Xenopus tropicalis: one gene and its partners. The protein of the gene in region 3 purifies or fractionates together with the protein of the main gene of each other region. This does not show direct contact. Links are inferred from orthologs where the notes say so. Each region holds a gene or a part of one and is shown on either strand. Other genes may lie near its edges.

What was found.
Region 1: the proteins of arid1a (region 3) and dpf2 purify together in Homo sapiens (affinity purification with mass spectrometry; 6 studies listed by BioGRID and IntAct, counting the BioPlex papers as one, with this or other methods). This does not show direct contact. The link is inferred for Xenopus tropicalis from reciprocal best matches to the Homo sapiens genes ARID1A and DPF2.
Region 2: the proteins of arid1a (region 3) and smarcd2 purify together in Homo sapiens (affinity purification with mass spectrometry; 7 studies listed by BioGRID and IntAct, with this or other methods). This does not show direct contact. The link is inferred for Xenopus tropicalis from reciprocal best matches to the Homo sapiens genes ARID1A and SMARCD2.

The regions. Positions count from the first base shown.
Region 1 is NC_030680.2:32,327,695-32,331,347, forward strand, and holds part of dpf2 (zinc finger protein ubi-d4), read right to left. Parts: intron 1,750-3,653; coding exon 1,603-1,749; intron 1,237-1,602; coding exon 1,108-1,236; intron 101-1,107; coding exon 1-100. UniProt on the Homo sapiens protein: Plays an active role in transcriptional regulation by binding modified histones H3 and H4. Is a negative regulator of myeloid differentiation of hematopoietic progenitor cells. Might also have a role in the development and maturation of lymphoid cells.
Region 2 is NC_030686.2:15,740,026-15,743,778, forward strand, and holds the start of smarcd2 (SWI/SNF-related matrix-associated actin-dependent regulator of chromatin subfamily D member 2), read right to left. Parts: upstream 2,688-3,753; 5' UTR 2,656-2,687; intron 1,817-2,655; 5' UTR 1,770-1,816; coding exon 1,668-1,769; intron 1-1,667. UniProt on the Homo sapiens protein: Involved in transcriptional activation and repression of select genes by chromatin remodeling (alteration of DNA-nucleosome topology).
Region 3 is NC_030678.2:77,694,207-77,697,959, reverse strand, and holds the start of arid1a (AT-rich interactive domain-containing protein 1A), read right to left. Parts: upstream 2,282-3,753; 5' UTR 372-2,281; coding exon 1-371. UniProt on the Homo sapiens protein: Involved in transcriptional activation and repression of select genes by chromatin remodeling (alteration of DNA-nucleosome topology).

The DNA of each region.
Region 1 (3,653 bases), on a different chromosome or scaffold from region 3:
GTTCCGCAGATATTACAACATTTGCACTCTATGCACTGCCAGCGATAAGTCTTAACTGCCGCCATCATTACGGGTGTGAACTGCAAACAGGAAGGGTGCCCTGTGTCCACAACATAGTATGTAAGTGAATATTTTGCATACATATGTATCCAATATCTGCGTTCATCCAAAAACTAAAAAATACCATATTTCTGCTGACCTCTGCAACATGTGCATAGCAACCGGCTGTAAATCTCAGCAAGCTAATCTGATATTTCTGACCTGAGGATCAATAACTCAAATCATAGGGGAACTTTAGAAGGCAAGCTGCCAAATGTTGAAGGGAGTTAATTTGCTGTACAATGTTGCTGTATACATTTGTTCTATGGATGTACAAAAAAAAAAAAAAAAAAAAAAAAAGCAAAACAAATGATGGTGCCCCAATCCTGTCCCCCCGCACAGCGCTTAATCTTTAGTGTCGGAGAAGGTAAAGGTGGTGCCACATCACTAGTGCAGAAAAGTGCTATTGCACTCTCTGCACTAGAAGAAAAATAAAAAATTGTAAATTTGGCTTTTTGCTACCACTGTTAACTGGCCGGCAAAGTGGTTTAAAAGTTCATCCCCAACATTCATTTTGAGGTCCACAACCCACTTAGCTTATAGCAAGGTTTCAAATGAACCCGTTTTTCAGTTTTAAGAATATCTAGGGCTGCAAGTAAGTCTTCACTCCTCACTTAACCCTTCAATGGGGATTTCAGGAGTATCTAAAGTGCAAAAAAAAGCTCTCACCCTAATTGGCTTGCTACTCAGAAATTGCCCAACTTCCCCGATCCCCCATGCCCCTCTAAGTGGATGAGGCCCGCAGTTAGCCAAGAACTGCTCTAAATTATTAGCAGAATGCACATTTATATAGCTTCTAAACATATATATGCATCACAATATCCCATTTTAGAATATTTAAATTGAGAATTCCTGAAAAACATTATAGTTCGGAATTCCTATGAGTGTTAGGACAGCCCATTTGGGCCTTCAACTTTTAAATGCAAAAGCTTTCCAGTTAAAAATAAAATCAGATGCATCATGTAGTATTAAGTCTTCATCAAATACTAGAGTCTTCTTTTAACATACCAGAGCGGCCGCAGTCTGAGCAGGACACAAGCTCCTCAGCCTGGTTTGTTTTCTTGTTAATCTTAGAGTCTCCAAGGCAGAAGTCACAATAATTGTTTGGCAGTGCAAGACCATCTGGGCCCTTTTTGGCTGGGAAAAGATAAAAGCATCAAATATGTTGAAAAAGGAGAACAAGAAGGAACAAACTTAAAAAAACTATTTTGAATAACCTAAGTAATGCAATCCTAAGCAATTTTTGATATATACTTTTAATGATATGAAATGTATTTGTAATTGCTATTGAATTATTTGTAATTAATGAATTTGTAATCGCTTTTGAAAGCAACACCTAAAACAATGGTGCCCTAATCTACGCTACCATGGGCGACTAATCTCCCCAAAATGCTTTCCCACTAACAGTAAAGTGAATTGCCGGTTGGAAAGCATACATGGTGCTTCGTTTTCTGAAGTTGCCCAAACATTTCCTCTGCATTCTGTGTAGATGCCTAAACTTACATTTTTGTTCCTCTGGTCTCTGCATGATAGGAGTGGGAGGCTGAGAATCCTCCTTATCTTCTGCCCCGGCACCTTCTTCATCCACAAGGTGTGAGTGGGCATAATGATAGCTCAAACCAGGCCTGTTTTTATAGCGTTTTCCACAGACTGGGGGGAAAAAGCAGGACAGCAGAAAATGAAGAGTAGAAAGAAGTAATAAAGCATTAGTGCAATGATAAACATTAAAAAGAGTCAGGTGAAAAATCACTACCCCACCAAAACAGGAGGATGTATAACAAAGCAAAGCCACAAGGGAAACTGGGTGGCAGGAAAGGATAGTTTGCAGGTGTTTTACATTGGGGACAGATGTTACTGTTACAGTAAAAAAAGGTCATGTTTTCACAAAGAACTTAGAATGTATTTAGTAATTCAGCAATAATTTTGCAATATCAACCACTTTTTTGTGCCATAAGCTAAAAGACACCTACATAACTCAATATGCTTTATAAGGTGAAAGTAGAAAACATCATGTACCACACAGGAGTACCAACACAATACTGCCAGATGTAAAAAAAAAAATAAAGTTATTCTTTTATTGGAGGTACAGGTCCAACAGGCAGATCAAAGATCAAAAATGATTTTCAGTTTTTGAGATGATATTTTAAAGATGCCAGCTAGGATGGCACTGGAATGTCTGTGTGGTTGGTATTCAAAATCTAAAAGTGCACCTCCAAGTAAACCTCCCTGGACTTCAGTCTTCATGCTACAGCTTTTGGTTTAGGTATTTTAAATTCCTGTGGCTGAATATTTAGAAGCAGTTTGCCTCCAGGCCAGACTTTTACCAGCATAACTATAAAAACCTTAAACTTCTGCTTTGGGGTAGCCTGCTTTTAAAGTGAGAAAAAAAGCAAACAATGTTATTGAATTACGAAGCAGATAAATACCTCTGCACTTCTGATCTGGCAACAGAAACATGTGTTACACAAGGAGTAAGGAAGAGCACACAGACAGACAGAGACTAATCAGTCAGGCATGTTACATTGCCCCAGAACTTTGAGCCTGCTTGTTGCACAACATCCTGACCTGGGCACATACCTTACCAATTTAAGGTAAAAGGTTGTCCCAGATCCGGAGTAAGACCCCGATTTACATATATGGATGAAACAGTACCCTGAAATATATGTTTGTGTGACCCTATGGGTCCATTTCTTGATAGGTTTGTTTCTGCTACCTATTTTAATGATGCCTTAAGTCCCTTTAGAACAGAAATTATACGGAATTCTTAAGGTGGCCATATACTAATATTTGCTGGTAATGACCACTGAGCCTGTGGGCCAAAGGACGGATATTGTATTGTATCCATAAAAAGTGCATCCACCTTTCTACCATCTCAAATGACAGAAATCAAAAACAGTAGGAGCCGTGGCCAGTTGGGGGTGGGTGGGGGTCCTGAGATTAAATCCAGCAAAACCCATATATCTCTAGTTATGCCACTGGCTATGGCTTTACCTTCCCTTTGACAAACCAACCTATAAAAACTGATAAAGGATATCAGCCAGAAGTATTTGACAAACATATTTGAACTGAAGATAGGATGAAAAGCTTATCAGTATGTTTATGGCCAGCTTTAGAGGAGCATCTTCATGGAACATAACCTCCATTCCCAACACCCTTAAAGGAGAACTAAACCCTAAAGATGAATATGGCTATTTTATACTTTTTTTTTTTTTTTACTAAACTGACTGTACTAGCTTCAAGTTTTAGTATCTCTACAGTAGTATATAGTAGTATAGTAGTATATAGGTCTTTACAGTTGCCACAGGAGCTTCCCATCTTGGATTCTGTTAGAACTGTCCTGGACAGTGCACACGATCAGTGTTTTCTTGGCAGCTACTGAAAAGCTAAGCTTAGGGGTTGTCGCAAATGATCAAACTGAAAATGAGGCTGGCCTGTCAAACTGATGCTACAGGTCTAATTATAAAATTCTGATGCAAACTGCACTGGTCCCAGAGCTGCCATATAATGAGAATCTGAATTACTAATCAGCATTATACGGTTACATTTATATTCTA
Region 2 (3,753 bases), on a different chromosome or scaffold from region 3:
TTTAAAATTAAAAGTAGAGGTCAGTAGAATGCCCCACATCTGCCAGTGGTGACCTGTACTACAATGCACCGCATCTACCAATTGTGAACTGTTCTAGAGTGCACCACATTTGGAAGTGCTGACATGTTCTAGAATGCCTCACATCTGCCAGTGCTGACCTGTTCTAGAATGCACCACATTTGGAAGTGCGGACATGTTCTAGAATGCCCCACATCTGCCAGTGCTGACCTGTTCTAGAATGCACCACATTTGGAAGTGCGGACATGTTCTAGAATGCCCCACACTACCAATGGTGAACTATACTAGAATGCACCACACTACCAATGGTGAACTATACTAGAATGCACCACACTACCAATGGTGAACTATACTAGAATGCACCACACTACCAATGGTGAACTATACTAGAATGCACCACATCTACCAATGGTGAACTGTACAAGAATGCACCACATCTACCAATGGTATCAGGTGCCAGTGATGAACTATACTTGCATGTACCTCACTGACAGAGAGTGAACTTAACTGTGTTGTACCACACTGACTGGTGTTGAACTAGACCTGAACATACCACATTCCTAGGCAGTGAACTCTACCAGAATAGACCATCCTAAAGTGATCTATACCAGCATGCACAACACTGAAAGGCAGTGAATGATACCAGTTCAACCATACTCCAAACAACCAGTGATGAACTATACCAAACTGTACCACACTGATCAACAGCAAACTCGGACCATGCCATTTGCTGGTGAACTATACCAATATGTATGAAAATGAAAAATTAAAAAGGAGTGAACGATACCAGAACACACCACAGTGACATGCAGTGAAAAGACAATTATAAAGTGAAGTAGATTTAAATCAACTGATCAGTTGTTTACCATGATATGCACCATTGTATAAAATGTAGGATTACTATTATTATATTATTCTTGGAATGGTTACACAAGCCATCCTAGATTATCTAGGCCCTGCTTAGCAACCATCAAGGCCTTATCTATACTCTCCTCCTGCCTACCTGGGACCATAATGATGTGCACTGATTGTCACATGAAGATGTTATGTCTCATTTTTCACAATTACACAAAGAATTTAGAAAGATACTGGATGAAAGTGAAACATCCACAGTCTTTATTTACACCAACGACTTTACCTTTGGATTGTACAACTGCGATGCAATTCAATAGGTCACCTGAGCTGTAACTGAACATGACTGCTTCAGATCACAATTGCATCCGAAAAATGCTCTAGAAATATTAGATCAAGGGCCTGGTGTGCTACACAAGTCACAAATCAGTCAGCTCAACATTTAGTCGCATTTAGTCTGATTTGGAAACCAGAAGTAGCAGCTTGCCAGTAGCACAGTCAATGTGCAATTCTATAGATGCAAGCGTTCTGTGCACTAGTGCCTGACTTTGGATGCAGCTATGGCATATAAAACACAATCATGCTTCAGGCGTAAATCATTTTCATGCCATTGGATTCTGCTAGTCACATGCTACAAACGGGCATGTGATAGTCAGGCACTATTAACAGACCCAGCAACTTGGACCTACTGACTCTGCCCAATTAAAACTGGATAAACAATGTTCTAAATTCTAAATGAAGTGATCTAGCACAGGGAAGATGGAAATGCACAATACATTGCTATTGGAAATGGTTACCTGGTAAGGCCCCATTGGGGGTCTGTATGCTCCAGGGTTTGGTCCCCGCATCATGTTCATTGGGCTCCCAGATGGTAGAGGTAATCCTCCCCGAGAGGTCATGGAGTGTTAAACAGCAGACAGCACTACTGTGCACAGGTGAAGGAATGCTGTGTATATACAAGAGGGATATACTCTGTGTGAACAACCTCCTTCCTAATGAATCATATAATGTAGAATTCCTAATTATGCAGCCCTGCACTGCGTGCGTTGGCTAGTTGCGCAGCCCTGCACTGCGTGCGTTGGCTAGTTGCGCAGCCCCGCACTGTGTGCGTTGGCTAGTTGCGCAGCCCCGCACTGCGTGCGTTGGCTAGTTGCGCAGCCCCGCACTGCGTGCGTTGGCTAGTTGCGCAGCCCCGCACTGCGTGCATTGGCTAGTTGCGCAGCCCCGCACTGCGTGCGTTGGCTAGTTGCGCAGCCCCGCAAAGTGTGCGTTGGCTAGTTGCACAGCCTTGAACTGCATGTGTTGGCTAGTTGTGCAGTCTTGGCTGTGTGTGTTGGCTACTTGTGCAGCCCCGCAAAGTGTGTGTTGGCTAGTTTGTTTGCACTTTGACTTTTAAACAATTTTAACGATATATCTTCAATAAATTTTTGATAAAACATTGAAGGGTGTGCTGGCCACAGATGATTATTTTCTGTATATACATAATTTTGGCTATGCACCCCGCAGAATATTGAGCCTTGGAGTGCGGACACCATTTGGATTGATATATATATATATATATATATATATATACACACACGCACATTTTATACATAAATTGTGTGTATATATTTATCCTCTACGTGTTGCCCTATTCAGTTATACAAGCTTATAGAGTTCGTGTTAGTATCAGTACTATGCCTATCAGACTGTAGCCCTGTGTGCCCGTAGCAGTAACACGCGTGTAAGCCCGGCGCTAAGTACAGCACAAAGCCGCTATCCTACAGCTAGTCCAGCACTACTAACCGGATTCCCCAGTGAAACCCAGCGGGGTTCAGCCTCTCTCCGTATAATTGTGCCCGTACAGCTGCTCTCAATGCGCAATCCCTGCGCTGCGATCCTCCGGCTGTAGTTTCCCGGGGCGCAAACCGAGCGCTCAGCACTTTCCCCTTCCTGCTGCTGTCGGGCGGCTCATAGGAAGTTATTGGAAGGTTTTTCTGTTGGTGTCATCACTTCCAGAGAGCTGTTTTGCAACAAACCTCCTTTTCTCATCTCTGCCCTCCCACTGCCTTCCCTCCCCTCCCCTCCTCCTGTGTCTCTCCTCCCTCTGTTTCTCTTCCCCTCCTCCCCTTGTCATCTGCCCTTTCTCTTTCGTCTTTGCCAGCCCTCCTCTACCTGTACCCACCCCCTCTTACCCGTGCTCACTCTCCTTGCCTGCCCTCTCTTACTTGTACCCACCCTCTCTTACCTGCACTCCCTCTCTCTGCCTGCCCTCTCTCACCTGTATCCACCCTCTCTTACCTGCACTAACTGTCTCTGCCTGCCCTCTCTCACCTGTATCCACCCTCTCTTACCTGCACTAACTGTCTCTGCCTGCCCTCTCTCACCTGTATCCACCCTCTCTTACCCGCACTCCCTCTCTCTGCCTGCCCTCTCTTACCTGTACCCACCCTCTCTTACCCGCACTCCCTCTCTCTGCCTGCCCTCTCTCACCTGCACTAACTGTCTCTGCCTGCCCTCTCTTACTTGTACCCACCCTCTCTCACCTGTACCCACCCTCTCTTACCCGCACTCCCTCTCTCTGCCTGCCCTCTCTCACCTGTATCCACCCTCTCTTACTGTCTCTGCCTGCCCTCTCTCACCTGTACCCACCCTCTCTTAGCCACACTCATTCTCTCTGCCTGCCCTCTCTTACTGTCTCTGCCTGCCCTCTCTCACCTTTACCCACCCTCTCTTAGCCACACTCTCTCTGCCTGTCCTCTCTCACCTGTACCCACCCTCTCTTACCTGCACTAACTCTACCTGCCCTCTCTTACCTGCACTCACTCTCTCTACCTGCCCTCTCTTACCTGCACTCACTCTCTCTACCTGCCCTCTCTTACCTGCACTCACTCTCTCTGCCTG
Region 3 (3,753 bases):
GGGTAGGCCCTGTTAGGGTAGGCCGGGTACGAGTTATAGGCATCCGTGGGAGGAGTATAGTCCAAGCCAGGGCCAGGCTGAAAAACTCCTCTCGGGTACGGAGAGAAGCCGAACCCACCGGGCGGGTGCGATGAGGCGGAGGAGGCCGCAGGCGGATCCCCAGGCTCCTGGTGTGAAGAGGCCGGCACTGTTCGTGTCCCATTGGCCGCCTCTGTTGAGTCCGTTTCGTTTGAAGCAGTGACCGGAGCCTCTTGCTGTGACTCGTTCGAGGGAGGAGGGGGATCTCCGGGACTCTTTTTCAGGTCGGGGCCGGCAGCGGGCGGGGTCCCCCCCAAACTAGGGCCGGAGGCCGGGGCCACCTGGGCGGCCATGGAGGACAGAGAAAAGGACGGGGATAGAGGAGGCCTCCCCTCCCGGGGTATCGGGCTTGGTTCGGGCAGGAGGGGAGGGGGGATCCGCTTAGTCGGACACGAGGCGGTAGAGAGTAGGAGGAGAGGCCATTTTACCGAGAAAGGAGGAGGAGGAGGGACAGGCCGCAAAGCGCGGAGCTGGAGTCCAGGACTGGAGGTGGTACAGGCCGCAAGACCCGGGCACTGGAACACGAGTTAGGAACCGGGCTACTTGCTTCCTGCACTGGGCCGAGGCACAGAAAAAAAAATCGTTGACTGGGCCGGATCACATGGACCGGGAAGTAAAGCCTGGGTACTGGATCACTCACACGGTGATACAAGCTGCAAAACCTGGAACTGGAATACAGACAGGAACTGGAGCTGGATCACATTGACCGGGCACAAGGGGAGATAAAGCTAGGGGACTGGAGTGCAACCCGGAGCTGGGTGGCTGTCACTCACATTTAGTAGCATCAAAATCCCGGGACTGGATCAAAAGGATATGCTAGGTCAGAGATAGATCCTAGGCATAATGACAAGTGGAGCAAAGCTCGGAGTTAAATCATTCACACAGAGAGGGGGCTGCGAGAGAAGGAGATTGGATTTTTTTCTCACAGAGCTGAACACCGAAGAAAGTAAAATCAGGAGCTGGATAGGGGTTGGGTAAGATAGTAAAACCCGAAGTGAATTATGGACTGGAAGATCAGTTCCATGGGTAGGGTAAAGCCCGGAATATAGAATCAATTAAGTTAAAGCATAGAAAACCAAGGGCCAGGACAGGATCTTAGAGATTGGACCCTTTATCTCCCATAGGCTTACAAAGAATCAGAGGACGGTGAGGACAATAAAACCCGGATCTGGGTAAATGACCCGGGGCTCTTCATTTGTCTTCCATAGGCTTCAGCGTAAGGAGAGGTCAGGCAGTAAGACCCAGAGCGGAGCGCGGGAAGCCGAACACTAAGCATCACGTGATGCCAAAAGGCGTGTCACAGCGTTGCTACGTCATGAGGTGTGTGCGTCCGGTACTGAGCTCATTGTGCTGCGAAGCAACGTGCTGGTCACGTGTGTCGAGTGCTCTATGTGTGCACACATGTATATAGGCACACACTAGCATACATGTGAACATGGCTGTAAGTGGGTGCCGCATTCTTCGTACTAAAGCGATTTTCCATTCTAATGTTATTTTAAGACAACAATTTATGGACGTTTTAATTATATTACCGCAATTATAATTTATTTGTAGGTAAAATCATAGGACACACATTGAGTAATTGAGCCGTATATAAAATAACCTATTTCTTCTGCCAAAACTTAACGGCCGTCTATATTTGTGCGTGGAACGCTCAACTGTACGCCACAAAGTAATTTATCGGTGTGATTCTGCATTACATATATCTGTGTGAACCGTAGGACATATTTCTCCAGTTGCCCCCTCCCTTCCAGCATGCATGCACGCTTATCAACCCGTTTAGTCAGCGAGCGGCACAAAGGATAGTCTGGAGCGCCGGAATGGGGGAGGGGACCTTATTATCAGCTTGTTTTCTAGCCTCAGTCCGGATCCAAGCTCCACACTCAGGATCCTGTTGTGACCATGATAGCCCATAATTCTCTGCGGTTGGAAGGGGAGGGAGGGGACGCGCGCAATGGCTGATGGGCCAAGTAAAATGGTGGGGGCGGTTGTATAGGGCTGGAGACAAAGGAGGGAGGTAACCAGAACGTGGATTGGGGAAGTTATGTAGAAGCTAAACAGTCTTATGCGTTTCAAATAGATCATTTGTTCTGCTATAATCATTTGTAAAATAGAAACATCACGTGTCTCATTACCTTGAAAGGTAACTGTGTATTCCTATGTATATTTGAATGGGTCCCGATTAAACATTTCTCCTTTGTGTCCCCGTACACGTGCAGTTTGTGTGTGTTTACATGTACCCAGCAGTATGTGTGTCTCACTAAGTACATGTAGCATAAACAGCGGACACAGCACCACCTAGAGATTCATGCTAATACCTGAATGATGAAAGTTTAGCAACTTATTTGCAAGAAGAAGCAGTAGCACAGAGGCGCTTATTTCCAGGGCTGGTTTTGGTAGGGAAGACAATAGATCACCTTTTCCCCACAAAGATTTGAGTAGTTAGGATATTGCATATCCATACAAGTTTACATAACAATTAAAAAAAAACTTGAGAACTAAGTTTCTAAAATAAAATGCCTCCATTTTTTTTTATTCCAGCCATAACATTACACAGTGTGTGTCTGTACATATTAAGATATTTTATGGCACATACCTAATATTAAATCAACATACCTGTGTTTAGGTCACTGTGTAAAGGCTGCCATACATGGGCTGATTCTAGCTGCCGATATCAATCCCTTAAACTGATTTGGCAGCTTATCGACCCGTGTATGGGCACTAAAGACGGGCCTGGCCTGAAATCGGCCCTGAATCAACTGACACCTATACCAGTCATTTTAATTCGATCTAAATTAGCCGATATTGCCCACCCATAGGGGGGATATCGGGAGAAGATCCGCTCGCTTGGCGACCTCGATCTTACGATCGATCGATCTCACCTTGCCTCATGTCAGAAGCAGCCCTGGGCGCACTTTCCTTTACATACTATGACCTATTCTTTCATCTATTTAGCCTCATTGTTCTTATACAAAAATAAGGACTAACCATGACATGGTTAGAAGCAGGAGGGCCTGTTGACACCTGGGCCCACCAGGAGTTTTCCAATCCAACATTTGGTTGACAAACAAGCTGATCTTTACATGCAAGTTTAGTCATATTTATTTATTTACAAACATTTATTACAAATTTCAATTTGCAAAGTTTTGAGAGTTTTCACAGAAGATGATCCATAGAGGTGTAAGATGGTGTCTGTCAACCACACTGAACAACTCTACATTTTTATAGCAGGTGCAAATATGGCAATAAGTGGTGCAGGGGGAAAGAGGATTTAATCTCCTTTGAGGAAAAACAATTGCACTTTGAGGCCAGCATTCCTTCTTTATTAACATAACTGCAGAAATGCAACTTCAGTAACCCATAGTTAATAATTAGTAAATTAGGGCCCACTGTTGTATCACATAGTACCATCATTGTAAGGTTTATAATCCCATAGTTTTTTTTGTTGTGGATAAGGTGTGGCATGGTGTAGACATGCAGGGAACACTGGCCCTATTGAAATAATGATGAAAACATTGTGGACATAGCAATAACATGGTGCCTGTATCCTGTCAAACTCAAATACAACAGGTTAAAGTGCAAGTGAAAACATCAGTGATAATACTAATATCTATTTTAATATATGATTCACGCAACCATTGTGTGTCTATTCCATAAGCATAAGCTTGGCTAAAC